Linked DNA regions of Diceros bicornis minor. The protein of the gene in region 4 purifies or fractionates together with the protein of the main gene of each other region. This does not show direct contact. Links are inferred from orthologs where the notes say so. Each region holds a gene or a part of one and is shown on either strand. Other genes may lie near its edges. The genes, in order: DDX5, HNRNPM, HNRNPUL1 and HNRNPH1.

Evidence for each region.
Region 1: the proteins of HNRNPH1 (region 4) and DDX5 purify together in Homo sapiens (affinity purification with mass spectrometry; 4 studies listed by BioGRID and IntAct, with this or other methods). This does not show direct contact. The link is inferred for Diceros bicornis minor from reciprocal best matches to the Homo sapiens genes HNRNPH1 and DDX5.
Region 2: the proteins of HNRNPH1 (region 4) and HNRNPM purify together in Homo sapiens (affinity purification with mass spectrometry; 3 studies listed by BioGRID and IntAct, with this or other methods). This does not show direct contact. The link is inferred for Diceros bicornis minor from reciprocal best matches to the Homo sapiens genes HNRNPH1 and HNRNPM.
Region 3: the proteins of HNRNPH1 (region 4) and HNRNPUL1 fractionate together in Homo sapiens (co-fractionation; 3 studies listed by BioGRID and IntAct, with this or other methods). This does not show direct contact. The link is inferred for Diceros bicornis minor from reciprocal best matches to the Homo sapiens genes HNRNPH1 and HNRNPUL1.

What each region holds. Positions count from the first base shown.
Region 1 is NC_080757.1:47,202,497-47,210,115, forward strand, and holds the start of DDX5 (probable ATP-dependent RNA helicase DDX5), read right to left. Parts: upstream 3,017-7,619; 5' UTR 2,855-3,016; coding exon 2,811-2,854; intron 1,612-2,810; coding exon 1,446-1,611; intron 1,091-1,445; coding exon 994-1,090; intron 897-993; coding exon 763-896; intron 646-762; coding exon 580-645; intron 320-579; coding exon 178-319; intron 93-177; coding exon 1-92. Other genes in the region: CEP95 (centrosomal protein of 95 kDa), read left to right, coding at 3,869-3,887, 5,334-5,462, 6,607-6,714. UniProt on the Homo sapiens protein: Involved in the alternative regulation of pre-mRNA splicing; its RNA helicase activity is necessary for increasing tau exon 10 inclusion and occurs in a RBM4-dependent manner. Binds to the tau pre-mRNA in the stem-loop region downstream of exon 10.
Region 2 is NW_026691615.1:283,843-291,374, reverse strand, and holds the start of HNRNPM (heterogeneous nuclear ribonucleoprotein M), read left to right. Parts: upstream 1-4,521; 5' UTR 4,522-4,542; coding exon 4,543-4,655; intron 4,656-7,532. Other genes in the region: E3 ubiquitin-protein ligase MARCHF2, read left to right, coding at 762-920. UniProt on the Homo sapiens protein: Pre-mRNA binding protein in vivo, binds avidly to poly(G) and poly(U) RNA homopolymers in vitro. Involved in splicing.
Region 3 is NC_080773.1:15,284,383-15,291,285, forward strand, and holds the start of HNRNPUL1 (heterogeneous nuclear ribonucleoprotein U-like protein 1), read left to right. Parts: upstream 1-3,887; 5' UTR 3,888-4,171; coding exon 4,172-4,466; intron 4,467-6,266; exon of another isoform or gene 6,267-6,330; intron 6,331-6,351; exon of another isoform or gene 6,352-6,903.
Region 4 is NC_080740.1:92,600,651-92,607,889, reverse strand, and holds the start of HNRNPH1 (heterogeneous nuclear ribonucleoprotein H), read left to right. Parts: upstream 1-4,230; 5' UTR 4,231-4,249; intron 4,250-4,731; 5' UTR 4,732-4,760; coding exon 4,761-4,857; intron 4,858-6,111; coding exon 6,112-6,267; intron 6,268-6,478; coding exon 6,479-6,622; intron 6,623-7,239. UniProt on the Homo sapiens protein: This protein is a component of the heterogeneous nuclear ribonucleoprotein (hnRNP) complexes which provide the substrate for the processing events that pre-mRNAs undergo before becoming functional, translatable mRNAs in the cytoplasm.

The DNA.
Region 1 (7,619 bases), on a different chromosome or scaffold from region 4:
AAGGACAAGGTAGGTGGTTCTTCTCAGATTGGTTTTCCCACACTCTAAAAAGTCAATCAGTCTTCCAGGTGTTGCAATACAGATTTCCACACCTTCAATTAAACACATAAATGTAACCAAGACATCCAAAACTTTTAGCAACATCAGTAATGAAGAGAACCTTTTTTGTTTACATGCCTCTCTCCAAATCACGTATCTGTGGTCCCTTGGGAGCACCACCATAGATGCAAGTGGACTTCAAGCGACATGCTCTACAGTATTCAGCAGCTACTTGCTGTACCTGTTGGGCCAGTTCCCGAGTTGGTGCCAGCACCAAGCACTAAGGAAAGAGGAACAGAAAGCAGAAGAGCTTTTACCAGAGACCTGAATCCCAGTTTTCAACTGCTAATTTATCAGTTTACAGTGGCATATTATTTTGCTGTCCAATACCCTAAAATGCTTTGTCTCCAGTCAACTCGAGTAGGATAACTAGAGTCTCCCCACAAAACCACCACAAATTATGTCTTTTGCTATATAGTCTATAAAATCTCTAAATTACACTTCTAGCCAAAAATTAAGAGAAAATACATATATACTTACAATAGGCCCATCACCTCTCTCTAGGAATGGCTGATGATTGATGTGGACTATGGCAGGCAGCAAATACTATTCAGAGGAGAGCAGACAACAAGGTACCATTAATATACTTCTGGTTTCTTTGTATGCCCAATCCATGTTCTCTAGACCCATCACAGAGTAACTCAAAAGTTCTCCCAAACTTACAGACAATGTTTTTCCAGATCCAGTCTGTGCCACTCCAACCATATCCAATCCACTTAGAGCAACTGGCCATCCCTGAGCTTGAATAGCAGTGGGTTCAGTAAAGTTCTGCCTTGCAATAACATCCATAACGTTTGCTGTAATTAGCAATAGCAACTTAGTAAAAATTAGTAGGGCCAAGAGAAAGGGGGGAATTAAAAAAAAAAAAGGAGAAGAAACAAAAGTAGCACTTACCAGGAAAGTTTGCTTCATAAAAATTCAGAACTGGCTTTGGGCAATTGTGACCTCTAACCGTAATTTCCTTGCTTCTTCTATATGTATCCACCTCTTGCTACAACACAAATTACAATAATCTAGTGTGTGTCATGATAACCGCCTCTAACACAATCAGTAGGCCCCTAAATTTATAATTGATTAGCTACATTAATGTTGCCATTTTAAATCTGGATCCACATATGAAAACCCTATATAGCCCAAGAACCCCATATCGTGTTACACTCAACCATTCTAAGTAGAAAAACTCAAAGCCAACTGTTTCCAAAAAGTAACACCTCTTCCCCAACTACCAAGTCAAAAAGCAGTAATTTCTCAAAACTTGGTCATTTGCTAGACCTTTCTGGTCCGACTTCCATTTACTATAAGTTGTTACTGAGTTACAGCCTAGTGGGGCCAACGAAATTACTCACTGCTGTGCGCCTAGCCAAATCAGGGTGTTCTTGATAAAAATTCTTCTCAAATTTGGGCAGCTCATCAAGGTTCCACTTCTTTTTAACTAGTTTCTCCCCAGGGTTTCCAAACTTCTTTCCAGATAGGGGCCCTGCCCTACTTCCTCCAAATCGAGGTGCCCCAAACCTGAAATTAAAAAAGAGTTACATTTTCAAACGCCTACACAGGGCTTTACATATAGACAGACTTACTAACCCTTGGCACACACTCAAGATCAATTAAAGACTTTTGGAGGTTTAAGATCTAGCTCTAGCCTTAATGATGGTCATTCTCCCAAACCCACAATCAGCATCCTATCTATCTCATTTCCCGTGGTCCCAAGTACACACTACTGAAGCTAAGTCAACAGCCCGGGATTTATCAGGTCGGAAATACACTGCCCAAACGCCAGAAGTTCAGACTACAAGTACAGACAACAGCTTGTGGCTACCAGTCTTTCCCACAAGCTTATGAATTAAATATCTGGGAGAGAAACAATACAAGAAAGGAGAAGCTTAACAGCTACGTTATTTCTCAGCTGTTTCAAGCACAGCAACTTTGGTTTTAAGTGGATAACGGGACAGTACAGGCAGCCAGAGCATTACAATGAGGGTTCTCCAGGACGCTGAAGCCAGTGGAGTTGGGGGATCCCGCGGAAAGGCCCCGGAGCAAGGTAGCAAAATTACATAACGCGAAAAAAAGAGGAGGAGGAGCTGGCGACTACCAGGGGAGGAGTCCCGACCCAGGCGGAGTCGGCCGGGCGGCGTTCCCGCTGGGGCGGCGCTTCCCCCTTTGTCTCGCATTTCTCTCTGCGCCACATTTTCTCGACGCTGCCATTTTGAGCTCCTCCGCCGGGCGGGGTAACAAAGGCGCCGCCGCCATGTCCGACGCCGGCATTTTGTACCCGCGGCTCAGCCACATGGCCGATTCCCGCGGCGCCGGCCACCCCCCTGCCCCCGCGGAGGCTTCAGAGGCGGCTCCCTTGGCTCCCGCTGAATCCTGGGGGCCCCTAAAACACCTCCGGAAAGCTTGCACCTAGAAGCGGCGACTCCGTCCGCCTCGAAGCGTCGCGCTCGCCTGCCCTAGAAATACGCTCCTCCGCATTCTCCCAACAGCGGCTAAATCGCCGAGGCCCTGATGGCCCCCGCAAACAAAGGGCGAGCTCGAGGGCCGTTAACAGGCGAATCTCTTCTAGTCACTTTTGGACAAATATCAAACATTCCATTGAAGAGGCCCATGGGTGGGCTGAAAAAGACAAGTTCCCACCCTCTCCACCGCCCGCCGCGACCCTTATCGGCCTCCCATCCCCCACCCGCCGGGCCTGACAGGTCAGTTCTCACACTTACCCTCGATCCCGGCCGCGGTCTCGGTCACTCGAATAACCCGACATGGCGTCAATGGTTGCGGTTGGCGGGGAACGAAGTGGAGAGAAACGGGTGCGACGAGTCGCTGGAGCTGGCTTCGACGACGGCGAAGCCTTGCGGGGGCGGCAGAAGCAGAGGGACAGCGATGACTGGAGCAAGAAGTGCTCCACAAGAGACTGGTGGAAATGAATGAGGTGCCGGCCGCGTCCCGGCAGCCGGTTTTATAGCCTGGACCGCCTCCTCCGCCGCACAGAATGCTGGGAGCCGCTCTATGACCTAATCACCCCGCCCCTGCGCTGAGGCCGCAACGCCCGCCGGCGTTCCGGAATCCGCCGTGTTCTCGCCCCTCCCCCCAGGCCCCTCCCTCAGAGTCGCCCGTTTTTCGCCCCTTTTATGGCTGGGCCCACCCACCACTGGGAGGCCCTAGCTTGCACGCTCTTGACTCCACCCTTTTCTCGTCTGTCTACACCTTAAGGAAGCCACCCTGCCCTTTTCCTGGTCCGGCCCAAGGGATAAAATGGTCAGCCCACTTGGAAATGTTTACGTCTCCAAAGAGCCTTCACGGCCATAACCAAACGAGAAGGCGTGAAGGCGGAGCCTGGCATTGTCACGTGGCTGCCCCCCCATCCGGTGAGTGGACCGCACTACTTCCCCAGTTGGCATCAGCGGAAGAATACAAAACGAAATAGCTCACCGGAAGTGCCGTGCTAAAGCCCCTGAGAGACCGGCCAGGGCTGCTGGGTGACCTGGGCTGTCAAACCCACCCACCGGAGAATCCCTTAGCAGGATCTTGTCGCGGAGAATGGTACCTCGACTCCGCAAACCGCCGCCCCGGCGCGTGCTACGAAAGGAAGTGCTCCTCTGATGACCAATCAGCAGTGAGAGGCCGTTTTAACGTCCCTCCCTCCTTCACCCCTCCTTCGCTGCGCTTTCGTTTCGTTCCGCCTCTTCTCAGCACTGTGTGTGCCCCTTGCGGCCCTTCCAGGACACCGTCCACCGCGCGCCCGGCCAGGAGTCTGGTGCCGACCTGCCTCCGCGACATGGCCGGGTCGGAGACTGGTGAGTCTCGCCTTGGAGCCGTGGTATGTGTGGACTGAAGCTGTCCAAATCCCTGAACGGCCCTGCCCATTTTATCTTGAGGCCTCGAGCCGGCTTCAACTAGGACTGGGCTGCCGCCGGGGCTGGTGACACACCCGGTCGTAGACGGTGGGCTCTCTGGATAGGGTCTCCTAACCCCATTCCCTGTCCGCTTCGAGGCCACCGAGCGCGATTTTGGGGCGGGGGAGAGGAGGCCCTGCGGCGAGGACCGTAGCACGCCGGTATCCTGGTGCAAAAGGGCGGTCAGCAAGTGTTTTTTTCGGGACTCTAGCCCTTGTCGGTGTGCTCTTTGCTCCTCGCTGTGGGAACTCAGGTCGTACCTGCCGTCTGTATTGAATTTCTGAGGAATGGCACTCTTAAGATCTGTTGATGCCCCTGCCAAAGTAGAATAGTGGTGGATTTTTCTCTTCAGTGCCCTCTAGAGTTACCGGCTTTGTCTAGCACCACTTGAAAAACGAGTTGATTTGGTTGTCTAGGACGCTTTCATCCTTTTCTCCAGGACAGCCTTCAAACCAGTTGTCATGGTTTGGTCAGCTTTGAGGGATGGACACGGAGAGAGGGAGATAATGTGCCTTGAAGACACATACACACATTTATTTCTAGGACATACTGAAGATATCGAATACGGAATAAAAGAACTTTCCCCTTAATCGCCAGTCATTTCAGGGAACAAATGTTTCAAGCTTTCTAAATTACCTTTGGTCGAAAAACCCTTGAAATAACTTGCCTAATCCCAACAGTATCTGGGGGTGGGGTGGGGTGGTAGGCAGGAAAGTTCAACAGTATTGGTAATGTACTAGTTCTGAATTTAGGGACATTTTATATATTTCCCATATTTTCGTTCATATGCATTAAATATAATTTTAAAAACCAACAAGTGTAGTAGTGTTGGCATCACTACTCCAGTTCTTAACAGCCCCTTTTTGGACACCAGAGAAATTCTGACTTGCACAAGATAATTGGGTAAAAACGTGACTAATGCTATTGGGAATTTGAAGCAACATCCATTAATTAGTTTCTAGTAATCTCAGATTATCATTAACTGTCTTGTTTATGACAGTATTCCCATTTACTTGTAAATATATTTTACATAAAAACACCTATGTATGGCTTGTAAAATAGGAACTACAATAAGTAACTTAAAATTTTCAATTGCAACAGTGAAAGCTGGATTCACATCGTAGTTTTGGCTACATTGAAATTCTGGCACTCTGGAAATCATCCCAAGAAATTAAATACATCTTTTCAAAAATCATGCCTAGGAGGGTCTTTGAAATTTTATAACAATCAAATCCCTTATCTTCTACAGAGTTCAGTGTCTGTTTTTGTGGGGCTTGTTTTTTTTTAATGTATGTATATGACTCTTTCTAGTGCTATTTAAGGTTGGTCTTTTCCCTTTCCCAACAGAGTGGGTAACCATTGCCAATAACCTTCTTTTGAAATGTCACATACATCTGAGGATACACGAACTAGAAGATTGTGATGCTAATGTTTTTATTGCTCTTTATCAATCCATTTTGGGAGAAAAGGTGCCAGGTAAGGGTACTAAAAAGTGAGAGTAATATTGTCTGTATCTTAGGCCGCAAGTTTCTAGTGCTGTTAGTTAGATCCTATGGTGTTTATAAAATCTTGAGTTTTCTCTTTGTCTGCTTCTTATTTTTATCTAAATATTGCATTCATTACCTTAATGACTGCCTAGGAGACCCACCTGTAATAACAGCCTTGGTCATCGCTGTTTAATTATGCCTAATGCCTTGTGAAAGTCATACCTTTTCCATCAATCTACCTTCAAAGGTTCTAAAATTGAGTGGAACTTTGAAACTTGTTGGGTCCTGTTGCTTAAGCAATATTATGGATAAGAATTGTTGTTTGTTACCCTGGTTAAATACCTCAGAGTCCTTATCCATAAATTCCTCTCTTGCCTCTGTTTCTTTCATAGTTGATAACCATTAAGTATTATAAGCTCTGTATAGTCTCTCTTCCTTTCCCCCTGTTACCGTGAGTCAGTGCCCTCATCACCTCTTGGAATAATGGGATGGTCTCTACCTGGTATCTTTCATGCTAGTCTCAACCGTCTTTAGAGTTCAGAGGCATGTAGTTATTAGACTAGTCCTTTAAAATACTTTTTTCATCCTACCCCAAAACATTCATCTTCCTCAATACCAGAGGAGAAACTCCAAATTTAAGTTGATATTAAAATCTTTCTGCACTTTGGTCCATACTGACCTTTTAATCCTTTGTACCAATAATTCCCAATAGGCTGCTTTAACACGACATGCAAGAATTCTACTTTCACACCTGTTGTGGGTTTTTTTCTCTCATGGAAAGCAGCCCATGGTTATGGGTTAAAGTGTCACCACATGTATTGCCCCCTTATTAGAATATTAGCATCGCCTTGAATTTAGGGACCTCTCTATCTTCCTTTAGCATGGTGCTCATTGTAGAGCACGTTCATATATATTTTGGTTGAATAAATATTCAGTCAATAATTATTCAACCAGTAAAGATTCTGCTGTGTGGAATTCAGGCTCTGTTAACTTTATTTGTACTTTATAGCCTGTTCTGTTTGGGCAGAGCTTAGTTTTGTAGCAGTGGAGCTTACTCACAAGCCTGGTCAGAGACAGATAGGTGAAAACTTGGCCCCTCATAGATGCAAAATTATGTGGCTTTTTTCCCACAGACCTCATAGCTATTCCTAGGAGTCAAGAGGATGACGCTCACAATGTACAAGCAGTAATTGATTCATTGGCCTTGGATTACCTGCAGGTCAGCTTGTCTCATATAACAGGTTGGTATATACTTAGCTATCAGATAATTTTGCATTTTACTTAAAATAATTTGTTAGGTAGAATCCCAGACATTGTTTAATTAACAAATGAGTAATCTTATGAAATAGACTAACCAGCAAGACTGAGCCAAGACAGTTGACTGGTGTAGTTAAGTCAGCCATCCTTGAGAGCTTTTCCAGAAGAGTCAGACATTGAGTTTGTGATGGCTCTGGGTCTGAGATGTAAGTATCCTAGCTGGTAATTTGAGGTATGTTTTGTTGTTCTTCTATTATTTTAAAGCTACCATCCTGCTTGTTTGTAGTAGCTAAAAATTAGAAATACCTAAATGTCCATTATTAGGGACAGGTTAAATAAATTATGATAGCTCATTACAGGGAACTACTCTGCAGCTGTGAAAGATGATTGATGATGCTCCTTAGGTACAATGTTTCACGTTAGTGGAACAATCTCCACTATATATTGTGTGAGAAAAATGTGGTGCACTTACAATGATAATGTGCAGAGTATGCTACTATTCCTAAAAACAAAGGTAGGGAGAATATATATGCAGTTGATTGCATACAGAAGAACTCGTTAGAAGCATATGCAAGAAACCTGTAATACTGAATGCCTCCAATAAGGGGAACTTCAGGTTTGCAGAACAAGGGTTGGATGAGACTTTTTGTTGTATACCTTTTGCCCCTTTTCAATTTTGAACTGTGTGAATATATTACCTATTCAAAATAAAACTGTAAATTGTTTTGAATCTTTTTCCAAAACAAAGTGTACCATGCTTGTATTCTAAAGCCAAACGTCCCAAGTATATTTATAAGTCCCTATATTTATAGATAGAAAATGAGGATTATTCCAGTAAATTATTTCAAGCTAATGAACAGAGGGAATCTTGGGGACTTGAAACTATACT
Region 2 (7,532 bases), on a different chromosome or scaffold from region 4:
CAACTAATGAACCTACATGGACACGTCATCATCACCCAGAGTCCACAGTTGACATGAGGGGTCATTCTTGGTGCTGTACATTCTATGGGTTTGGACAAGTGTGTAATGACATGTGTCCACCATTATAGTATCATACAGAGCGGTTTCACTGTACTAAAAATCTTTGGCTCTCTGCCTATTTATCCCTCCCTCCCCCAGCCCCTGGCAGCCACCAATTTTTTTACTGTCTCCATAGTTCTGCCTTTTCCAGAATGTCACAGGGTTGGAATCATCCATTACGTAGCCTTTTCAGAGCAGCTTCTTTCACTTAGTGATATGCATTTAAGCTTCCTCCATGCCTTTTCATGGCTTGAGAGCTCATTTCTCCTTAGCACTGACTAATATTCCACTGTCTGGGTGTCCCTCAGTTTATTTATCCATTCGCCGACTGAAGGACATCTTGGTGGCTTCCACGTATTGGCAATGATGTGACCCATTGACAATGAGCCCCTTCTGAGGGGCTGCGTTGCTTCACTCCCGCCCTCTGAGAGACAGAAAGGGGGTCCCTTGCTCCCTGCTGTAGACCCCCTCACCTTTGCAGGGCCCCGAGTGCTGGTGGGAGCTGCCCCAGGACAGTGATGGGTGCGTGTGCACAGTCTGTATGAGAAGGGCCTGGACGTTGGCTCTGCTTCTGGAAGCATCCAGGGGCCCAGTTTTCCTCTCTTGGGGGTGGAGGTCGGCCGGCTGGCCTTCGCACCCACCCCTGTGCTGCTGCCCCGCAGGTCTCCTTCCGCTACCATTGCCAACTGTACTCCGAGTGGAGAAGGACCAACCAGAAAGTGCGCCTGAAGATCCAGGATGTGGATGGCCCCGAGGGCCCCCAGCCCTCCCTGCTGGCAGCCGGACTCCTGAAGAAGGTGGCAGAGGAGACGCCTGTGTGAAGGCCAGGCTGGCAGGGCCAGCGGCAGCTGGCGATGCCCTGGCGTTTGGAGGGACGGAAACTGCCCGACTCTTCCTGCACGGCCAGAACGCTTTTTAGGCCAAGAGACACCGAGCAGAGCCGATTCTGTGATCCCGTGTGAAGATACTTTCAGACTGTTTTGCACACGGTTGTACCCGAGGAGGTGGACGTGGTCCTGAGCTTCGGACGGATCAGGCACCCTGATCTCATTCTGAGGTCCACTCGGCCCCTCCGGGGCCAGCAGCTGTGGCCATGGGCGAGCCGAGGGTGTCCATCGGGCCGGAAGGTTCCACAAGCTTCTTGCGCTTCTCCACACCTGGCAGGCTCGCTTTCCCGGCACCCTTGACTTCATCAAGTTGCACCGTGTTTCAAAAACCCACCCCGAATGAATAAAAGGAGCCCTTGCTGGACAAAACGGACTTGTCAGTTACGTTTCTGAACCAAGGCCTCAAGTGAGGGACCTGGGACCCCAGGGCAGCCGGGGACCACAAACAGGTGAAAAAAACAACAACAGAGGCCCTCTGCTGGTTTTGAGGGATCTGTTATGAAACACACCGGAAGAAGCAAAGTCTGAGTTTTCAAGTGAAAAGCAGGTAGCAGGGTTATATAATAAATGGTTTAAAATCGCTATGCATAAGGAGAACAGTTTCCACTTACTTTGCATCTCCAGATGCCACGCTGGTGTACTTACTAATCACTAACGTCCACACTTCTCGAGGGTTCCTCAGTTCTGAGCCTGCACAGGCATCCTCTCTCTGCCTTTTAGACCATCCTTGAGGGGAGGAATGGCTGCTGCCTCCATTTTACGGATGAGAAGACTGGGGCCCAGAGCAAGGAAGCCTCTGTCTAAGGTTGCACAGCTCTAGGAAGGAGAGTTGGGGTTGACCTTGGGTCTTCGTGGGCCTAGTGCTGAGCTCTAAGCTTGCCTTCCAGGAGGACTCAGGAAAAGCAGCAGAATATGGTTGTGCTAATAACCACATGTACTTCTTGAGCACTTTCTGAGCTTTTCACGTGGAAGGGTTCTCTGCATTGGGCCGCATTTCATACTCAGAGCAGCCCTGAAAGGTGGGTTCTGGACTTCTCTTATTAATCCCATTTGCACATAAGCAAACTGAGGCTCAGAGCAGTGGGGTCGCTCACCCAAGATCACACCTCCCTGACGGACCTAGCACAGTGTCTGGAATGTTCTATTGTTTTCAGCATGAAGCCCTGTCTGGTATGTGGTTCACCCACGGAGTAAAAAAACCCTTTCCACCCCAGCGTAGAAGGGCCAGAGGCAGCCAGCCTGGCCACGGGAATGGAGGGAACAGTAAAGGGCACAGGCCTGGAGGCTGGAACTTGTGTGGCCTGTAGGAGGAGCAGTGTGGCAGACGTGATTGCTGGAGCAGCGAGACTGAGGGGCAGGAGAGAGGCAGTTAGAAAGACGAGCAGGGCTTTGTAGGCATCTGGGGTCTGCAGAAACCCAGGACCTTATCCAAGCGCAATCGCTCTGCTGGCGCTCAGGGGCCCTTCTGGCATCTGCATCTTCTCTCTCTACACAGGCCCAGCACCCACCTCTCTCAGGCCAATTTTGGATTGTGGTGCCCCTGGAGGTGATGCAAAGAGGCCCCAGGACATGCCATTGTGAAAAGAGCTGTTTCCTTTGCAAATCTCTTCTAATACTTTCAATTACATCAAGGAGAAAGTTGTAGGTTGGGCTAGACTGTCTTAAATGACCCTTAACCTAAGGGAGGAGAGAACAAGCCTCAGGCTCAGAGCCTTTGGCAGCATGCACAACTGAATTCACACTTGAATAGCATCATCTTCTTATTTATTTTTTACAGTTAGCTGTTTATAGCAAGTTTTCATATACTCAATTTACATATATTTGCATATATTTACATGCAATGTAAAACACAATATTAAAACATGCGTCTTTAAAGGATAAGAAGGTGTGTCAGTTAAAGGAAAATGTGAAGTGTGAAGGAAATAACAGTTCAAGAGATAGCAGAACCCAGGATCTGGGCACTGTTGGTTTAAGTCAACCAGCCTGTAGGAGCCTAGCCTGGAAGAGTTGGTCTCCACAACCAGGGCCTGATTGTCCCTGACCTCCTGTCACACCCACCGAGGGAGGAGGGATCAGAGAGAGAGGTGGCTTCTTGTCCCTAACGCTTTGCATTGGGACTCCTCCCTGATTCTGACAGACTGCCGTGGCCTCTTCCGCCACTTCTGAGCCCTGCTGGGCGAGGGAATTCAGAAGTTCATGAGGCTCCTTCTGCCTCAGGGCCCCTCCAGTCTAGGAGAGGTCTAACGGGGAGGAAGGTAAACTGAGACAGATTCCATTGGGGCCATGGGAGAAGATTTTAATAGGTATGCAAGGGCGATTTTAACAGAGATTTCAGGAGGGGGCATGGGAGGAGGGAGGGGCTTGACGATGGGCGAGAGAAGGGAATTCTGGGAGGCAGGTGAGTTTGGGAAGAGCTGGAAATGTGGGAACGGAGCTGGAAAGAGGGTGGGGCACAGCCTTCATGTCAGGCTGGACTACGGGATGGATTTATTCTCTGGGCCTGGAGTTCTCAACCCTGGGTCAGAATCACCAGGCAGAATGAAGCAGCTGGGAGAGTGTGGTGAATATTCCCCCAGAGCCTGATGAAATGTAGTCATTCTTTGAGGGGTGGGGGGGGGGTACCTCTTTCCCTTTGTAAGCCTAGAGCGAGTTTGGTGGTTAGATGGGAACTTCTGCAAGATTCGGTGAAGCATTTCAAAGTTCCAGAGACATCAGAGAGAGGGGCTGCTGCTGGGGAAGGGAGCCTGAGGCCTCAGAACGCGCCCCTGGGCTCTGGCCTCTTTCCAGGCCACGTGGCTGCCCCAGGACACAGCCTGTAACAGTCCTTAAAACCAGTCTGGGGACAGAGCCAAGCCCTTAGGCAAAGGGACCCAGCCAGGATCAGGCAGGAAGGAGGCCCAGTTAAGTTTTAATGGGATCAGTTGGCCTGTAGCTCGTTTCTTCCATCGTGTTTGGATCTTGCTGCTTCATTCACTCAAGAAACATCCGTGAGCGCATACCAAGACCCCAGCGATGCGTTTTGCTTGTTGGTTGATGGGTTCAGAGGCCATGGGATCTGCACCCAGGAGGTCCCGGGGTGGTGGGGAGCCAGGTCGGACAGAGCCCAGATATTCCTGGTGCAGGATACTTGCTTAGAGAGACAGAATTTTGCACACCAGTTCCACTGCCTGGCCCGTCCGCGTCCTGCCCTCCTGCCTGGCTAACTCCTTTATATTCTTAGTAAACAGAACTTTCTGCCCCTCTGCCGCAGCTCTGATTACCGAAAACTGGGAGTGACGAGGTCCGGGTGTGGGGTCAGTAGATCCTTCCCGTGCCAAACCTCAAGAACCGGTGGAGTATTCAGAAGGCGCCCAACACGAGTTTGTTGCGGGGATGAATGGATAACAGCGGCCGGTCTGCGCCTGCGCGCGACGGGGGCGTGGCCCGGGGCGGGCGGGGACCAGGCGGGAGCAGGCCGCGGCGCGCGCAGGCGTTACTGGTCGCGCCGGGTCACGTGAGTGCGCAGGCGCAGTGCTGCGCAGCCGGCTCCCTCACACAAAGCCCAGACGCGGAGAAAATGGCGGCAGGGGTCGAAGCGGCGGCCGAGGTGGCGGCGACAGAGCCCAAAATGGAGGAGGAGAGCGGCGCGCCCGGCGTGCCGAGCGGCAACGGGGCTCCGGGCCCGAAGGGGTGAGTATCCCACGGCTCCGCGTCCCGGGCCGGCCGCCTTCGCGGCGGCGCCGTTAGGTCTGTTGGAGGCCTCCCCCCGGCGCGGCCTCAGCCCGGGCCTTTCCCGCGGGGCCTGCCCGGGGTGGGGGCGGCCGGGGCCGCCGAGGGGCCCGGGGGCGCCGCAAGGCTCGCTCCCTCCGTCCTCCTCGGCCCTGGCCCAGCTCCGCGGGTCCCTCCAGGCCGGGTCCGAGCCCCACGCCGAGGCCTCGGGCCCGGCCTCTGCGCTCGGGGCTGATGGCACGGGCCCCGGAGCCGGAGAGGCCCGACGCCCCGGGCCGCTGGCCTGTCGGGTGACCTTGGGCGCGTGGTTTCACCCCCCGCCCCCCGTATCGCCCGGGGCCTCAGTTTCCCGCCCCGTAAACTGGGGGGAAGGGAAGGGAAGCGAGGGCGCGCGCGGGGCCTCGCGCGTGCTCGGCCCGGTAAACGGCGGCGGAGGCGGGTGGGAGCCGGGCAGGACCGCGAGGCCGGCCGGAGCGCCCCCGCGTCCCCTCCCCTCCCCCGCCCCGCCCGGCCCGGCCGGAACCGCTCCACGCCGGGGCCGCGCGCGAGGCCCCCGCCGGCTCCCCAGGTGCGCGGGAGGTGTCTGTGCAGGGATCGGACCTGCGCTCCCCCAAACAAAGAGGAGGAGAAAAAAAGCAGAGAAACAGCATTTTCCGTGTTCCCGGGGGAGATTTTCCATCCTCAGGCGGGCTCGCCCACTTCCAGGCTCCGTCACCATTTCGAGCCTTGCTTGGGCCTCCGTCTCTGCTCCTTGGCTGTTCAAGTGTCCTCAAAGCTTTAGAGCATCGTCTTGTGTCCGCACTCGTTCTGATGACAGTCACCTGGAAGGAAGATGCGGAGGGACGTTTGGGCTCCCACCGGCACCCGTGGGGGGAGGAGAGGGGGAGGCTGGGCACACGTGATTTCCCACTAATTTTTTTTTTTTAATTGTGGTAACGTATGTGGAACATAACATTTACAGTTTTAAAACCATTTTTAAGGGTACGGTTCAGCGGCATTAAGTGCGTTCAGTGTTGTGCGACCATCACCCCTGTCCATGTCCAGAACTTTTTCATCATCTCAGACTGCAGCCATTAAACAGTAACTTCCGATTTCCCCCTGTCACCAGCTCCTGGATACTTCTGTTATTCGTTATGTCTCTTATGAATATGCTTTCCCACAAATTTCTAATGTGCATCCCTAGAGTTTGTGGGGATTAGAAGTGAATGTAGTTAAAGCGCTTTATGTTACCGAGCTTTCGCTAGGTGACTAGCTGTGTTGTTGTCAAACCTTCTCTCCTTAGGTGGGGAGGAACAAAATACCATGATTCCTGGTCCTCGGAAATCAAAAGAATGGCATCCCAGAAGTATTCCCAGCACTTGACTCTCGAAAACTCTGGAAAAGGATGCCTTCGTTTAGACTTTTTTCATCATCTGTCTAGGGGAGCCTAGGAGGATTTCTGAGGGCCGTTTTTGGATGCCTTTAAGTTACATTTATTTCCTGTATTTTTTCTTTCAAAGCAGTTATCACAGGATGGAGTGCTGCTAAAACGTGCTAGGTGAGAAGTTGAATTAGCTATAGTTTGTAGCATCTGGGGTATGTTTTTCAAATTTCCCATTTTCCACTGTCCATTTTCAAATAGTCATTTTGTGACGGGTTTATTTGACAAATGTGACACGTGGACCGTTAGAAAGAACCTGAAGGTTTTAGAGATAAAATAGCTCTTGTTGGAAAGAACCTTAGAGTCTAGGGCTGCTTAACAGAAGTTCTTTCAGGAAGCTAGCAACACTTAGATGTATTTCATAGGGTCGGTGGAAACTTTGTGTATTTTTTTTTTTTTTGCATTAGGAAGCTCTTGAGAATCAAGCCCATGCCCAGAGGAGAGGCCAGCTGATAATTTTGTAGTGAGGTAATTATGCTGTGATAGAAGTAAAGGAGTTACCTGGTAGGGAGCAGCTCCCCTCCCCACAACTGAACCCCCTGGGGGCAGGGTGGGGAAGAGGGGGTTTCTTCAGGAGGAGGGGGATGAAAGAGGATGATTGTGGAGAGGGGAGAAGAGAGCTGCCCACGACTAGGGACTTTGGTATATGCTTTGCATATTTATAGAGAACTGATGCTGCTGTAGCACTTAACGCTGGAACAGTGAGGGCCAACGCTGAAACAGTGGGGGCCGGGGGCCGGCTGGTGGGCAGTGGATTCCAGGCTGAGGAATTTAGATTTTTATCTTGAAAGCCTCTGAGGGATGGAAAGTGAGTGAAACTTGGTTCTTCTGACCTTTGTCTCCACCAGGAGTGGAGTGTGCTGTAAGCTGAAAAGGCAGTGAGCCTGCAGGCTTGATGGAGGACCCCAGAGAGGAAGCTTGTTTTGCAGTGACTTTTCTCCGGGGTGTGAGAGGAGGATTTGTTTTATTTTGATGAGAAATCTGTTCCATTTAAAGTCAGTCAAGATTCAGAGTTAGAGTATATTTAGTCAGGGAGAAAAAGCATTCATTCTGGGGAATATATAGTTTCAGGTTTGATTTTTTTTTTTTTTTAAAGGTTGAACCATATACTTAAAATCAGTGATGTAACCTACTTCCAAACTAATCTTGTGGCTGAATCAGAAAACAGAGATGGATTAGTTAGTTTAAAAATAAAAATTTATATTTAGTGTAGGTTGCCGGGGAGGTAATGTTAGTGTTAACTCTGTTTTATAACTGAGAAATTTTTTTTTTAAACAATTGAGAAAAGTCAGGTTAAGGAAATTGACCCAGAGTCTGGGGGAGGCTGTGTTGACTCCACTGCCACCCTGGTAACCTCTCACTAAACAGTCACTTGAAGTGTTTTATTTAAATCAGAATCTCTGTGCTTTGCAATGATT
Region 3 (6,903 bases), on a different chromosome or scaffold from region 4:
AACTGCAGCTCTCTCTTCCTACCTATTCCACTTCCATCCCAGATAGATCCTCCCCCTTTTCCATGCCTTTGTGTCCCCATGTGTAAAAGGAAGGGGTTGGACTGCAACCCCTAAGGGTCCTCCTAGGTCTAACATTCCAAGATTCTAGATTCTAAGGTTTAAAGAGTCTAGACTCAAAGGTTCTAGGTTTCAAAGATGCTATAAGTCTTTGGTTCTAAGGACCTGAAATTCCAAAGTCTCTAATTCTAAAGTGCTAAGGTTCTAGACATAGAAGTCCTAAGGCCTATATTCTAAGGCTCTGAGATTCTATGGCTCTAGATTTTTCTGGTTCAAAGATTCTTGATAAAGCCCACAAGATTTTAGGTTCTAAAGCTCTAAGATTCTAATTCTAGGATCTAAGACTCTAAGATTCTAGATTTTATTTTTCTAGGGTTCTGAATCCTTAGGGTGTAAGATTCTAGATTCTACAATTCTAAAAATTCTACAATTCTAGACATGGAGGTTCTAAGGCCTAATGTTCTAAAATTTGATATTCTAAGCCTCTTAGAGTGTAAATCTTCTGGCTGTAAGACTAGATCATAAGCCTTCAAGATTTTATCTTCTCAAGTTCTAAGATTCTAATGATGGCCAACTATAGGTCTAAGGCATTATGATCCTTGAAACTCTTGTTAGGAGATTCTGGATCCTAAAGGTCTAAGATTCTAGAATCTGCAATTCAAAAGTTCTAAGAGTCTAAAGATGGAGTTTCTAAGGTCTCATGTTCTAAGATGTGATGTTCTAAGACTTAGCCTAAGAACCTAGATTCTCTGTGTCTGAGATTCTAGATCATATGCTTCAAGATTCTAGATTATTAAACTCTAAGATTCTAATGTTGGTCTGTTCTATGTTCCAAGACACTTTAGACTCTATTGGTCCAAGATTCTGGATCTTCAGCATCTGAGGTATAAGTCTCTGCAGTTAATTGTGACTAACTAGATACCAAAGTTCTTACCATTTCTTTCTTTCTTTTTTTTTTTGAGGAAGATCAGCCCTGAGCTAACATCCATGCTAATCCTCCTCTTTTTGCTGAGGAAGACCAGCTCTGAGCTAACATCTATTGCCAATCCTCCTCCTTTTTTCTCCCCAAAGCCCCAGTAGGTAGTTGTATGTCATAGTTGCACATCCTTCTAGTTGCTGTGTGTGGGACGTGGCCTCAGCATGGCCGGAGAAGCAGTGCGTCCGTGCGTGCCCGGGATCCAAACCCGGGCCACCAGTAGCGGAGCGTGCGCACTTAACCGCTAAGCCACGGGGCCAGCCCTCTTATCATTTCTAATGCTGGACATCTTTAGGTTCTATGCTGCATTCTGCCTTTCTAGGATTTTAGTTATGGGTCTAAGATCCACAGTTCTAAATCTTAAGATTCTAGACACTGTAGTGTTAAGATTCAAATGTTGTAAGATTCTACAGGTCTACAGGCATAGAATTCCAAGGGACGATTCCAAGGTTCTAGCCTTATATTCTTCTGTGTGACCTTCCCCTTCTTAGCCACCTCTGCTTCCTCCTCCCTTCATGTGGGGGTGTGCCCCCTCAAGCCTGTGCAATGCATTAGGAATGTCTCCTTTCCCCAGGGGACAATCTTCCTCCTCTTGGGCCATGCTGCCCCCCTGAGCCAGTCTCTCATGCCCCTGTACTGAGTGTGGACGCTGGCGCCTCCAGAGGGGCCCAGATCACATAAAACTTTGTAACCACACTTCCGTCTCCTCTCGTCTCCACTCAGCTGTCATGTGGCCTCCCTCCCTGGCAACTCAGTTTCCCCTTCAGTAAAAAGAAGAGTTTGGTGGGGTCTAGGAGTTCTCCCCTCACTAAAGAGGGTAGAGATGAACATACACATAGACAAAAAGACACGCAAGCAAAGAAATGCAGACTCTCTGAAACCCCTGGCAAGGAATAGGCACAGAGATACTCACGAGGTCACACAGAGACACTCCTCCCCACAAAGTAACAGATACATGAATTAGTGGACATACTCAGGCACACCTGGTCACAAATACAAAGACACTGAAATTCAGACACATGAGTAACAGAGACACACAAAATTACACAGATACAAACATATTTATAAACATATGCACAGGCAGATACTCCCCAGGAATAGGGAGAAACTAGAGTAACACAGATACAGACACACAAAGAGTAAAGTGACACAAATACTCAGAGACATATAAAGTACAACAGGTACTCACAGACCCAAACGTTCAGATTCACATAGAAACACAGGCACAGAACACCTCCGATAATCACCAGCCCATAAAGGGACTCCTGCCAAGACAAGTCCCCTGTGTTTTGCACGCATCGCGGGCACACGTTCCTGGGTGTGTCCAGAGCAGATGGAGGAACCCTTGGCAGCGCCCGGACGCCCCCCGGTGGCGGCTCCTGAGAACCGAGAACAGTTCAATCCGGGCCACAAACTTTTTTAGAACAAATCATTCTGGGAAGCTGGGGGTAGAGAGGAAGTCGGACGTGGGCGTGGGGCGGGGTGTCTGGACTGAAACCTCTGGGCCCACGTGAGTGTCTGTCCCGCTTCTGAGTGGGTGCTGGGTGTATAGGTTGCCGTAGTGTAAGCTTGTGTAACTGTCCTGTGTGTCTTTATCTTTAGATGCCGCCTGCGTGTGCGGACCTTAGTGGGCACATCTACACTGCAGTTTGGTGTATTACCCCTTGAATTGATGCATCTGATCTGACTCACGGCCATTTGTTTATCTGTGTTGTGTGTGCCTTTGTCTAAATAGAGGTCGTGTGTGGCTTTTGTGGGCTGAAGGTATGGCTCAATGCGCAGCGGGCGTTTGCATTGTGTGTCTCGATTGTGCATCTTACAGAAGTTTTGAGTCTTTTCAGTTAGAGGCGACAGGTGGTGCAGCGTTAGACATTGTGAAACGCTGTGTGGCGTTTGTATTTAGCAGCGTGAGGCGTAACTACGGACCTGTGTGTTTGAGCTTGTCAGTAGAGACGCCAAACAGCCACGTCCACTGAACAGGCGTCTAGAGGATTTGGGGTAGAGACCCGCGAACCTCTGGAGGTCTTTCCGGGGGGGACGGCTCTATGGTCGCGTGCAGAGCGCCCATTCCACGTAAGATCCCAACCATAGAGAGAGAGGGCAGCGAAGCTCAGATCGGGGAAAGAGGCGCCCTGTGAGATGTACTATCAAAGGGGAGAGGGTGCCATTTCCTTTACAACTTTTCTCCCGTTGTTAGACTAGCCTCTATTTTCAAACCTGCAGGACTCTCTGAAGTCAAAGGGTTGCTTTTCATTAAGACAACTGAGTTTTTTCCAGGCTAAGAATAATTAATCCACTTAATCTCTATTTCGTATACCTCCTTCTACAGCGAGATTTGTGAGGCCGTCCGCTGAAAAATGGCCAATCTGGTTAGCTTTTCCTAAAGCGATCCAACCGTACTAGCTTTAGTGAGATAAAACAATAACTGCGATTGGTGGGCAGATTGTTTTGAAACCGCCCTAACGGCAAAGGGTAGGTCCTTCGTGAATTCATCTCTTTCCGGTTTTTAAAGGCAATAGTGAAGGGGGGGGAGGGTCTGCCGACCCTCCATTTGATTGGTTCTAGTGGTTTTACCCGCTTGGACGCCTCTAGGGGCGGGAGATCTAGACCAATCAGGATATGTGTTACAGAGACACTAGTTTGATGAAAGGACCGCGCAGGAAAGGCCGTGAGGGCGCTCATTCTGAGATCTCGTCGCTGATTGGCCCAAGTCTTTACTCCCTTTCCCTCATTTGACCCTACGAGAGAGAGCGCGCCGGCGCTACCCAATCACCGCGCGCTCCGCCTCCCTCCTTTTCCCGCCCTCCGCTCCGGCCGCGGCATCAACGTAGGCCAACGCTTCCTCCCCGGCAGCTCTTGAGCCCTTTCTTTGCCGTTCTTTTGAAAGCCGCGCTCTAATTGGCTGAATCTCCAGGCCCGCGCCCGCTGCCCTCACGAGGTGACCAATTGGCACCCGTGTTGCATCGCACGGGGCAACAGAGGAGGGGGAGGCGGCGGCGGCGGCCATTTTGAGCCGCCGCCGCCATTGGAGTGGGGGGCCCCCCCCTTCCCCCTTCGCCTACTGACAGGAAAGGTTTAAGGGGGACAGAGCCCTGGAAGGCCGGGCCGGGCTCGGGGGCCGCCCCGGGGGCCCGGGCCATGGATGTGCGCCGTCTGAAGGTGAACGAACTTCGCGAGGAGCTGCAGCGCCGCGGCCTGGACACTCGCGGCCTCAAGGCCGAGCTTGCTGAGCGGCTGCAGGCGGCGCTGGAGGCCGAGGAGCCCGACGACGAGCGGGAGCTCGAGGCCGACGACGAACCGGGGCGACCCGGGCACAACAACGAGGAGGTCGAGACCGAGGGGGGCTCCGAGCTGGAGGGGACCGCGCAGCCACCGCCGCCCGGGCTGCAGCCGCACCCGGAGCCTGGCGGCTACTCGGGGCCGGACGGACATTGTGAGAGTGCGCGGGGCGGGGGCCGGGGAGCCCAGAGTCCGGGCCGAGAAAGGGCTGTGGGACGCGGGAGTCCGGCGCCCGAGGTCGGGGAGACGGTCTGAGGATTGGGGGATCCCGCCACCCGCCGCTGAAAAGGATCTGGGGACCAGGGCCTCGGGACGACCGGAGGGTGGATCCTGGCATTTGGTGCAAAGGAGATAGTGGAGTGGGGGCTCCTGGTTTCGGAGAGGAGGACGGTCTGGGGGGTGTAGAGCCTGGGGCTCGGGGACCGGAAGCCGTCGTTTCTGGGGCCAGAGAGAGTCGGAAGAACAAGAAATTTTCTATTCAGGGGCTGAGAAGGATCTTGGAAATGGGGATCCTAGGGGTTTGGGGGCTGTGCTAGCCTGGCGAGTGGGTTGGGCGTTAGGAGCCTCGTTTTAGTGCTCGGGAAGGAATGACCAGGTGTCCAGAACTAGGAGAGTTTTGAGGATGGAGGATCCTGGAGTTTGCTGCTGGATGAGGTACTGGGAATTCTCAAATTTGGTACTGGAATAGGTTGATGAAATGGGGGTGCTAGTGTCTGGCCGGGGAGGGTCTGATGGACTGGGTGCTCTGTTTGGCTGATAAGTGTGTAGGGGATGTGGGACACCACCGTATGATTGGACTATGGGAGACCCACATCTGTCTGAGGATGGCCTGTAGGAGTGTGAGATCCAGGGCTGGCAGGCCAACCTTGAGGCAGGGGCAGCTTGGGCATTTGGTGCTGGGAAATCTTGGGACCTTCTGGTTGACTTCCAGAGGAAGCGTAGGGAATCTTGGTGTCCGGAGGCTGGCAGGGGAGGGAAGGATGCTTCACTGGACAAGGGACCTAGAGGACTACAGCTGGGAAGGCTCTCAGGACAGATAACTCAGGGGCTACTGCTGAATGATCTTGGATTAACAGTACAGGTTGTTTGGAGAACAGAGGTAGCTAGGAGTGGAGCGGGACAGATGGTTGGTGGAGTTTGAAGTCGATGGAGTATCTGGGGGACGGAGGATCCTTGTGTCTAGCACAGGAGTGTGTAGCTGGTCTAGCAAATATGGGGGAGGGGGGGAGGGGAGAATGTAGAATGTGTAAGGAGAAAGAACCTGTTGATTTGTCTGGGGGCCTCTGGGTGGAGTCCGGGGAGTGTTTCTGGGGCTGGGTGTCTCCATGAGAGGGCTCCTTGGTTCCCAGAGGCAGTTATTTGTGTGCCCAGGGATGGGGAGACCTCAGAGGGTAGCAGGGAGTCTCTGCATCAGCCAGAAGGTAGGACTTGAAATGAGAGGGAGTAGGATAGATCTGTGATAGTCTGAAGAGAGGAGACCGTGGTATGGGTGGGAGTAAATCTGGAGTTAGAAAAGGGTGGCTTCCTAGCAGGACTAGGGAATGGGGACTGGGGAGAGTAAGGAGTAAGTAGAAAGGATACTGGCGTCCAGGATTTCTGGTATTTCTCTGAAAAGAGGGCACCCTGGGCCATGGGGCTAAGGGAATGAGAACAAGGGGGTCAGGGAAGAGACATGATTTGGAGTGGGCGTTGAGTACTTACTTGTTCGAGAGAGATGAGATCTCCGGGAGGGGAGCAACCTGAGTGTAGATTTAGGGTGGAGAGCAGCCTAGGGCTTGTCCAGGACCCAGGTGCTGGAAAGAGTACTTCCTATGCAGAGACCTGTGAAGGAAAGAGGAGTGGCCCAGCGTGCATGTCTAAGGCAGGAGACACCCTGGCAAGAATGCCTAGGAAAAAGGGCCAATGGCTGGAGGTGTCTAGGAAAGCGAGTTAGGTGCTCCAGAGCACAGGCTCTAGACTCAGACAAATTTTTGTTTCAAATATGACTCCATGACTTGGACAAGTCACTTCAGAACTCGGTGAGCCCTGGTTTCCTTGTGTGTAAAATACGGAGACTAATGCCCCCAGGATTGTTGTGAATGAGATCGCATGTGTAAGGGGCTTAGCACTGGGTCTGCCTGTTATTAGGAGATGGATGTTTTAGAGAGTGGAGAAGGACCCCAGAATCATAGCTTCTCTGGACGAAGCTGCCTCAGTGGGCACAGGAGAGATTCTCAAGAAGAGAGATATGAGGCTCTATGGGAAGAAGAGCACTGTGCTTGGAGCCTGGAGGAAACAGAATGGTTTGAAAGGGCCCCCCGTGTTCCAATTAAGGAGATATTCTATTTCTTCATCTCTCTCCTACCCTCTACAGCAAAGTCCTTTGAGCCCCGTTCATGCCCCCCTCCAACCCTTCTTTCAGCTCTGGTAAACAGACCTGTAGCAAACCACGTGATCTGTTACTTTCCTCCCTTTGGGCTGCACCTGGTTTGTGCCCAGATGTATTTGTCCTGTGAGAAAGGATCCAGTCAGTTAGCAAGTGGCAGAATAGTCTCTCCTTCCCTGTGGTTCTCCCTCACTGGTCCTGGCACAGCCACTAGTAGGGCCCTAGA
Region 4 (7,239 bases):
GTGGTGGCGTCCCACATAAAGTGGAGGAAGATCGCTACAGATGTTAACTCAGGGCCCGTCTTCCTTGGCAAAAAGAGGAGGATTGGCATGGATGTTAGCTCAGGGCTGATCTTCCTCACAAAAAAAAAAAAAAAAATCCCCATTCCACTGTTTACCAGCTGTGCAGCAGGAGCAAATTTCTCTAATCTCTCTTTAAGCTACAGTTTGCCTATTTGTAAAATGGGGATAATAATAGTACATATCTCCCATTGGGTTATTTAGATGAGATACTGTATGTAACACACTAGGACAGAGTGAACATTTCCTGTCTATTTATGTACATATGTATATATTTACGTGTGTATATATTTCACACACTGTGTGCATGCACACACATACATTCTTTGTGTTTCAAATGTGTTGCAAATTGTCAATTTATTTGTCTTTCAATTCTCTCGCTTTATTCAATACAGAATTTTAAAAATTATTTTTCTGTAGCCAATGTACCAGTCTTTCCCTTTGTGGTTATGTCTTTGATTTCACACTTAGAAATGCCTTCCTCATCTCAAAAATTTATAAACACATACATTTTATTTTAGTACCTTTAGCTTTACATACTTCAAGTTTAAATCTTTTTTTTAATTTTATTTATTTATTTTTTCCCCCAAAGCCCCAGTAGATAGTTGTACATCATAGCTGCACATCTTTCTAGTTGCTGTATGTGGGACCCGGCCTCAGCGTGGCCGGAGAAGCGGTGCGTCGGTGCGCGTCCGGGATTGAACCTGGGCCGCCAGCATCGGAGCGCACGCACTTAACCGCTAAGCCATGGCGCCGGCCCATAAATCTTTCTAATCTATTTAGAGTTTATTTTGATGTATAGTGTGAATACTATTTTTTCCCAAATTTCTAGTCATTGGATTTAACACCATTTTTAGAAAATTCTTTTCATTCTGATGTGACATATCACCTCATTGAATGCTGAATTCCCAAATACACCTTGGACCTGTTTCTAGATTTTGTCCCACTGAGCTGTTTCTTTCTGTGCTGGGGCTACAGTGCTTTAATATAACATTGACAGAGTTTTACATGGTTGATATACCACTTTTTAATTTTGTATTCTGCTTTTTTCCCCACAAACCATTATATCACAAACATTTCTTCACACCATTTAAAAAAAATCTATAAAACATAATTTTAATGGCTGTAATCTGTCATCAAAAAAATTAAAGAAAAAAGTAGACTATAACAGTTTCCATCAAGTCTAAGGTATCATCAATCTTAAGACACACCATTATTTGTGTACCACTAAGAAAAAAATGCTGCCAATTAAACTATGATATGCCATTGGTTTTTAAGACATATTGCTATTTTAGAGAGGTTAAACTGTGAGAAAATGTGTGTTTTAGAATTGATAAAAAAGATAATGAATAAATATGTGCTTTATCTCTGTATAGGGAAGGGTTTTCTGAGCTTAAAGACAGACTCAGAGGAAAGCACCCATGGCTTCATCAAAATTAAAAACTTCTGGGGCCAGGCCTGCTGGCCTAGTGGTTAAGTTCAGCATGCTCCACTTCATTGGCCCAGGTTAGGCTCCTCAGCTCGGACCTACACCATTCATCTATCAGTGGCCATGCTGTGGCGGCAGCTCACATACAAAACAGAGGAAGACTGGCAACTGGGCAAATCTTCCTCAGCAAAACAACAAAAAACTTCTGTATGTCTAAACATAAAAACCAATAACAACAACAACAATTAAAAGGCAAGCAAACAAAAACATTTGGGGCAACTATGGCCAAGGGTTAATAGCTTTAATAAAAACCAAAGATCACTGGAGAAAGAAGTCAAACTGACAGTTTATATAAGAGGGAATTGGCTATAAGTGTATAAAATTTACTTTACCTTGCTAGTAATAAACAGATGCAAATTAGAGATACGAGTCTTCTCAGTATTAAATTAGCAGAGATTAAAGGAAAGGAAATTTTCAGTGTCAGCAAAACAAGGGGATATGGAACACTCACACACCACAGAGAGGGTTGTCAAGTGCCATAACCTTTTTTTATTAGTAGTCCTAAAAATACTCAGACCTCCCATTGAATAATTTTACTTCTAGAAATCTATCCTAAGGATATGATCTAATCTTTCTATGATGATTATACATGACATTTACTCTTATTAAGGAAGAAAATCCGAGAAAACTTTAGAAAAAAATTAGGAAAAATAAACACTTTAGAAATGTGGCCTTGTTGTTACAAAAGGTAAAAATATGATTTTTTATGCACTACCAAGGGGATCAGGGTTTTTCCCTCATATAATCAGAAACTAGTGTTCTTAGGTCATTTAATAAGACCAGAACTCTCAAATGCTGTCACCTATTAAGAAGACACACCAGGAGGTGTCTTGGTGATGTCCTGGAAAGAGAGTATCCAAGAGCAAAAAGTGTTCTCCTTGCTTTTTCTTTCCCTTTTTTTTTTTTTGTGAGGAAGATCAGTCCTGAGCTACCATCTGATGCCAATCCTCCTCTTTTTGCTGAGGAAGATTGGCCCTAGGCTAACACCCGTGCCCATCTTCTTCTACTTTATATGGGATGCCACCACAGCACGGCTTGACAAGCGGTGCGTCATGTGCGCGAGGGATCCGAACCTGCGAACCCCAGGCCGCGGCAGCGGAGCGCGCACACTTAACCGCTGTGCCATGGGGCAGGCCCCTCTCCTTGGTTTTGAATCACCCAGAGACAGACCTCCTGTTTGGAAGACTTGGGAGTCCACATTTTGGTGACATCAGTCAAAAGGCCTTCCATTTCCTCCAGCTCCGTTTGCAGTTGAGGGCAGGCAGCGTCCTTCACCCTGCCTGTTCCATCTGTGTCCCCCTCACTCCCAGCAACTGCGTTTTCCTTTACAAACAGCTCCTCTCGCTCTCTGCTGAAGACCTGCCAATGCCTTCCCGTGCACCGGGAGTTAACACCCTTGCCAAGGCCTAAATGGCATTTCAAGGTCATTTCAAGATCAGGCCTTGCCTAGCTCTGGGATCCTATCTTGGATCACCCTCCCCCTTTATTTCACTGATGTCGTCTCTGTTTTCTCACACCTGTCAAAACCGGATTTGGCCTCCAGACCATTGTGCTTGGGAGGGAACATGCTTTGTCCGCATCTTCCCGTGGTGGCACTCAGAGAGGCCTTCACTAACGTCCAACACTGCCTTATCTTTAATGTGTTTACTGCCTGTGTCCACCGGGCCTGAGGTGGGAAGGACTGGCAGGATCAGAGAAGGGGAGACCTGAGGGGCTGCGGGCATTGTTCCAATTTCCCGCACCTGGAAATCGAGACCATCGCTCGTCTCGTGCAATATGCGCACACGCGGCGACCCTGGGTCACCTCCCAGCGTCTCCACCCGGGAAATGGATGTAACGGTACCTACTTAGTCTTGGGGGAACGAAGCCGGAAAGAGCCGGCGCGCGCCGACGGCTCGCTCGCGCTCCCCCCGCGCGCGGCAGTCGACATCCGGTCCCCGCTCTCTAGGAGCGCCCCGCGGCGTCAGGGCCCACGACCCTGGGGCGGGCGGCGGGGTCGTGGGGGGCGAGTTCCTTAGGGCGAAGGCGGGGTGCGGGACTGAGTCAGAGCACGGGGACCCCGCGCGGGCCGGGCCCAGGCCCGACGGCGGCAGGTAACGGGAAGGTGGAGGCACAGGCCTGCGCGGCCCCGCAGCCCCAAGAGAGGCCCGGTGGTCATCGCCGGGCTCTAGGGAGAAAGGGGGTACAGGTGGCGCGAGGGCGGGGAGCCTGTCCTTTCAGGTCGGCCAAGAGCGCTGATAATAGGCTGCGGGTAGGGGTAGGAAGACGGCCCCCTCGCCACGACCCAGAGCCCGGGACTATCACACTGTCCCCATAGGGAACTGACTGCCGCCATTCCCCTCCCCCACTGTGGCGGGTAGGGCGAGAACCGCTTGAAGGAAGACGCATGCGCATGAAACTAAATGACTGTCTAAACCGCCAAGGCTCGAAGTTCAATAATCGCGACAAGGCGCAGGCGCAAAAAAGCCCGGCGGGTGTAAGGAGGTGGGAGGGGCTGAGCTCAAGACGCATGCGCACAATAACTTGCTGGCTGGAGGTGAGCTTGCTCATGAAATTACGCATGCGCTCTATGTCTGTGTGACGCAAGCGGGCGGTGCGGGCCTCTGGCTGCGCGTGCGCAGAACTTGTTCGAAGGGCCTTATTTAGGTTGCGCAGGCGCTCGCTGGCCATTTCTTCTCAGCCACGCTGAAGTCGTTTGTCTGGGTGAGTGTGTGTCGCTCCGTGTTCGCCCCCCCCCCCCCCGGGGGCCCTCGAGGATGCCGTTTTCGCGAGGAGTGCGTGTCCCTAGACTTCTGTAGAGCCTGGGGGGCCGTGGCGAGGTGCAGGCTGCCCCTGGGAGCCGGGAGCGGCTCGCCGAGCCGCGCAGGGCGGCCGAGGCCTGCAGGCCCCGCCGCCTCTATTGTGTGAGGCGTCGGAGGAGGCGGAGCGGAAGCGGCCGCCGCCATTTCCTCATCTCCACTCTGGCGCCCGGCCGGGGACTCCTCGGTTCGGGGCGCCGGCGCTTGGTGCCCACAGCGGCCTCGGGGGCCCGGTCGCCGGCCGCGGGGTGTTGGGGGGCAGAGTCGCCGGGGTTGGGGCGTGCGCACGGGCTCGGCTCTTCTTGAGGCGCCGGGGCAGCGGGCGCCACTGGGGCGGAGGGCAGTTGGTTTGAGCGCTTCCCGGGCTGACCTCGTCCCGCCCCGCAGTCTGTCGACGCCAGCACCCGCCGGAGACGATGATGTTGGGCACCGAGGGCGGAGAGGGCTTCGTGGTGAAGGTGCGGGGCTTGCCCTGGTCTTGCTCGGCCGACGAAGTGCAGCGGTTCTTCTCTGGTGAGTTTGGAGCGGAGGCGGGAGTTGGCGGCCGGGGCAGCGGGCGGCCGGCGTCCTGGCGGGGCGGACGGGGCGCCCCCTGGCGGGGCGGGCGACCGCTGATCCCGCCGGCCGCCGTTACGCAATGGAAATTGTGAAAGCCCCCCCGCCCTCGGGAGAGCGTGGCCTCTCCGGCGGGCTGTTTTGTTTCCCTACTCTCGAGCACTAGTCCTCCTGTAAATGTGTTTTCCAAAGGATAGATGGGATTTCCTCCTCAATCTTGAGAGAATTGCCCAGTAGCTGCGCGCGTAATAGTGATGTTTTGCAAAGTCTTAAAAGATAGAACGTATACTTTCTAGTTTTCAAAGTATGTTGTCGAAAAGGGGCATTCTGCTTCGGAAAGTTAAAATGTCACTTCTTAATTTCAGACAATTTTCCTAATCAAGATTTAGTAATTGAAGAGTTCTTGCTCATCTAGTTCTTGATCTGGCTCACTTTACATTTGAGGACACGGAAGCCCAGGGAAGTTTGCCTATCTAGTTTTTTCTAGTATCCTGAATAATTTTTACCAAAACGTCCTTGTTCTCATTAGTGTAAGATTAGACTGATAAAGATATTTGGAAGATGGAAGAAATTTCCGGGTTTTGGAAGGACACTTGTAGTATTGACTTACTGTCTGAATTTAGCGTGGGTTACGGAAAACGACCTGTAAAACGAGAACCAAGTACACTGGAAGCCGCCTTGCAGTGGGCAGGACTGGGTCTGGCTTCAGCTGTGCAACTTGGAGCATTTTAGCTTGGTAACATTGATCCCTTTTCAGGTGAGTATTGGCAGTGCGATTTGGATTAGAAAGAAACTATCATGTTGCTAGTAAGGTAAAACGGTCAAATGCCGCAGACGAAAAGTTGCAACTAAGTATATTCAGGAAATGCCACAAAATAACCAAGTCCAGACAATTTGCTGACCAGTTAAAAATGTTGAATGGGAGACACTTGGGTAGTGAGGACTTAGAGATAACTTCATTAGAAACTGCTTTAAATATTGGATTTTTTTGATGGATTGGGAATATATCATCTAGGAAATAAAAGTTTGATGGAGAGAGGATAACTGCTTAATTACTGGACAGAGACATCCTAGAAGTTGGTAATAATTTGGTCATTTTAGGCTTCACAGATGATCTACTTTGTAGTAGGGGCATGAGGAGGCAGTTCATCTGTATCACCCAGAGGTGGTTTTAAGTTTTAAATTCTGTATTAACGGTTGTTTTCTTTCCAGACTGCAAAATTCAAAATGGGGCTCAAGGTATTCGTTTCATCTACACCAGAGAAGGCAGACCGAGTGGCGAGGCTTTTGTTGAACTTGAATCAGAAGATGAAGTCAAATTGGCCCTGAAAAAAGACAGAGAAACTATGGGACACAGATATGTTGAAGGTTTGATTTACGTTGCCCTAGTAACAGTAAATAAAACATTAAACACAGAGAGATCTATCTTACCCCTTCTGAATTTTAGGTATTTGACCGCATGGAAATGGTCATCTAAGGGAGTTTATGGCAGCTCTTCCTAGATTATCTAAAGACCCAGGAAATCTGAACTTTGTTCTCTAACTTTCCAAAATTGACTAATTCTAAGCACCTCTTTCAGTATTCAAGTCAAACAACGTTGAAATGGATTGGGTGTTGAAGCATACTGGTCCAAATAGTCCTGACACGGCCAATGATGGCTTTGTACGGCTTAGAGGACTCCCCTTTGGATGTAGCAAGGAAGAAATTGTTCAGTTCTTCTCAGGTATGTAGTCGTGTTTGTTGCTGAGCAGCGAATTCTGGCTAGCTTCTGGCAACGTGTGATTTAATAGACCTTAAAGTTTAGCAGCTCAGATATTAAAACAGGTTGTGAGTATATGCAGGTGAATTAATGTTTTTTCTTCCTGGAGACCTTCAAATAATTTAAGCCCATCTTAAAGGTGGAAATTAAGTACTTCCAAAATGCTAACTTTGCCTGTATTTAGTATTATAGTGCAGAGTAGATCTTTGAGGATTGTCCTCAACAGCTTAACTCCTTTCCTCACAATGCTGTTCAGCAAAGTACTTCAAGTTAAAGGTAAGATCCCTTCACATTAGATTAGCATGAGTTAGATTGTGATTTCTCCCAAGTGTCTATGTCGTAAGACACATTGGGTCATGGGACTAGAATTGTCTCTGATGCAAAAAAAACTATTTATGGAAGCAACTAGTTTAGTTAGCCAGGGAATTATAAACTTAACTAAAAGTCAGTCTAATGTAAGAGTAGGTGGAATGTAGTCTCAGTATCTGAAATACAGAAAGTGTTTTGAAATTGTTCTGGGCCTAAAGTATTTGAATGTTTTTATGCTGAAGAACTGATAAAATTGCATGTTTAGCAGAATA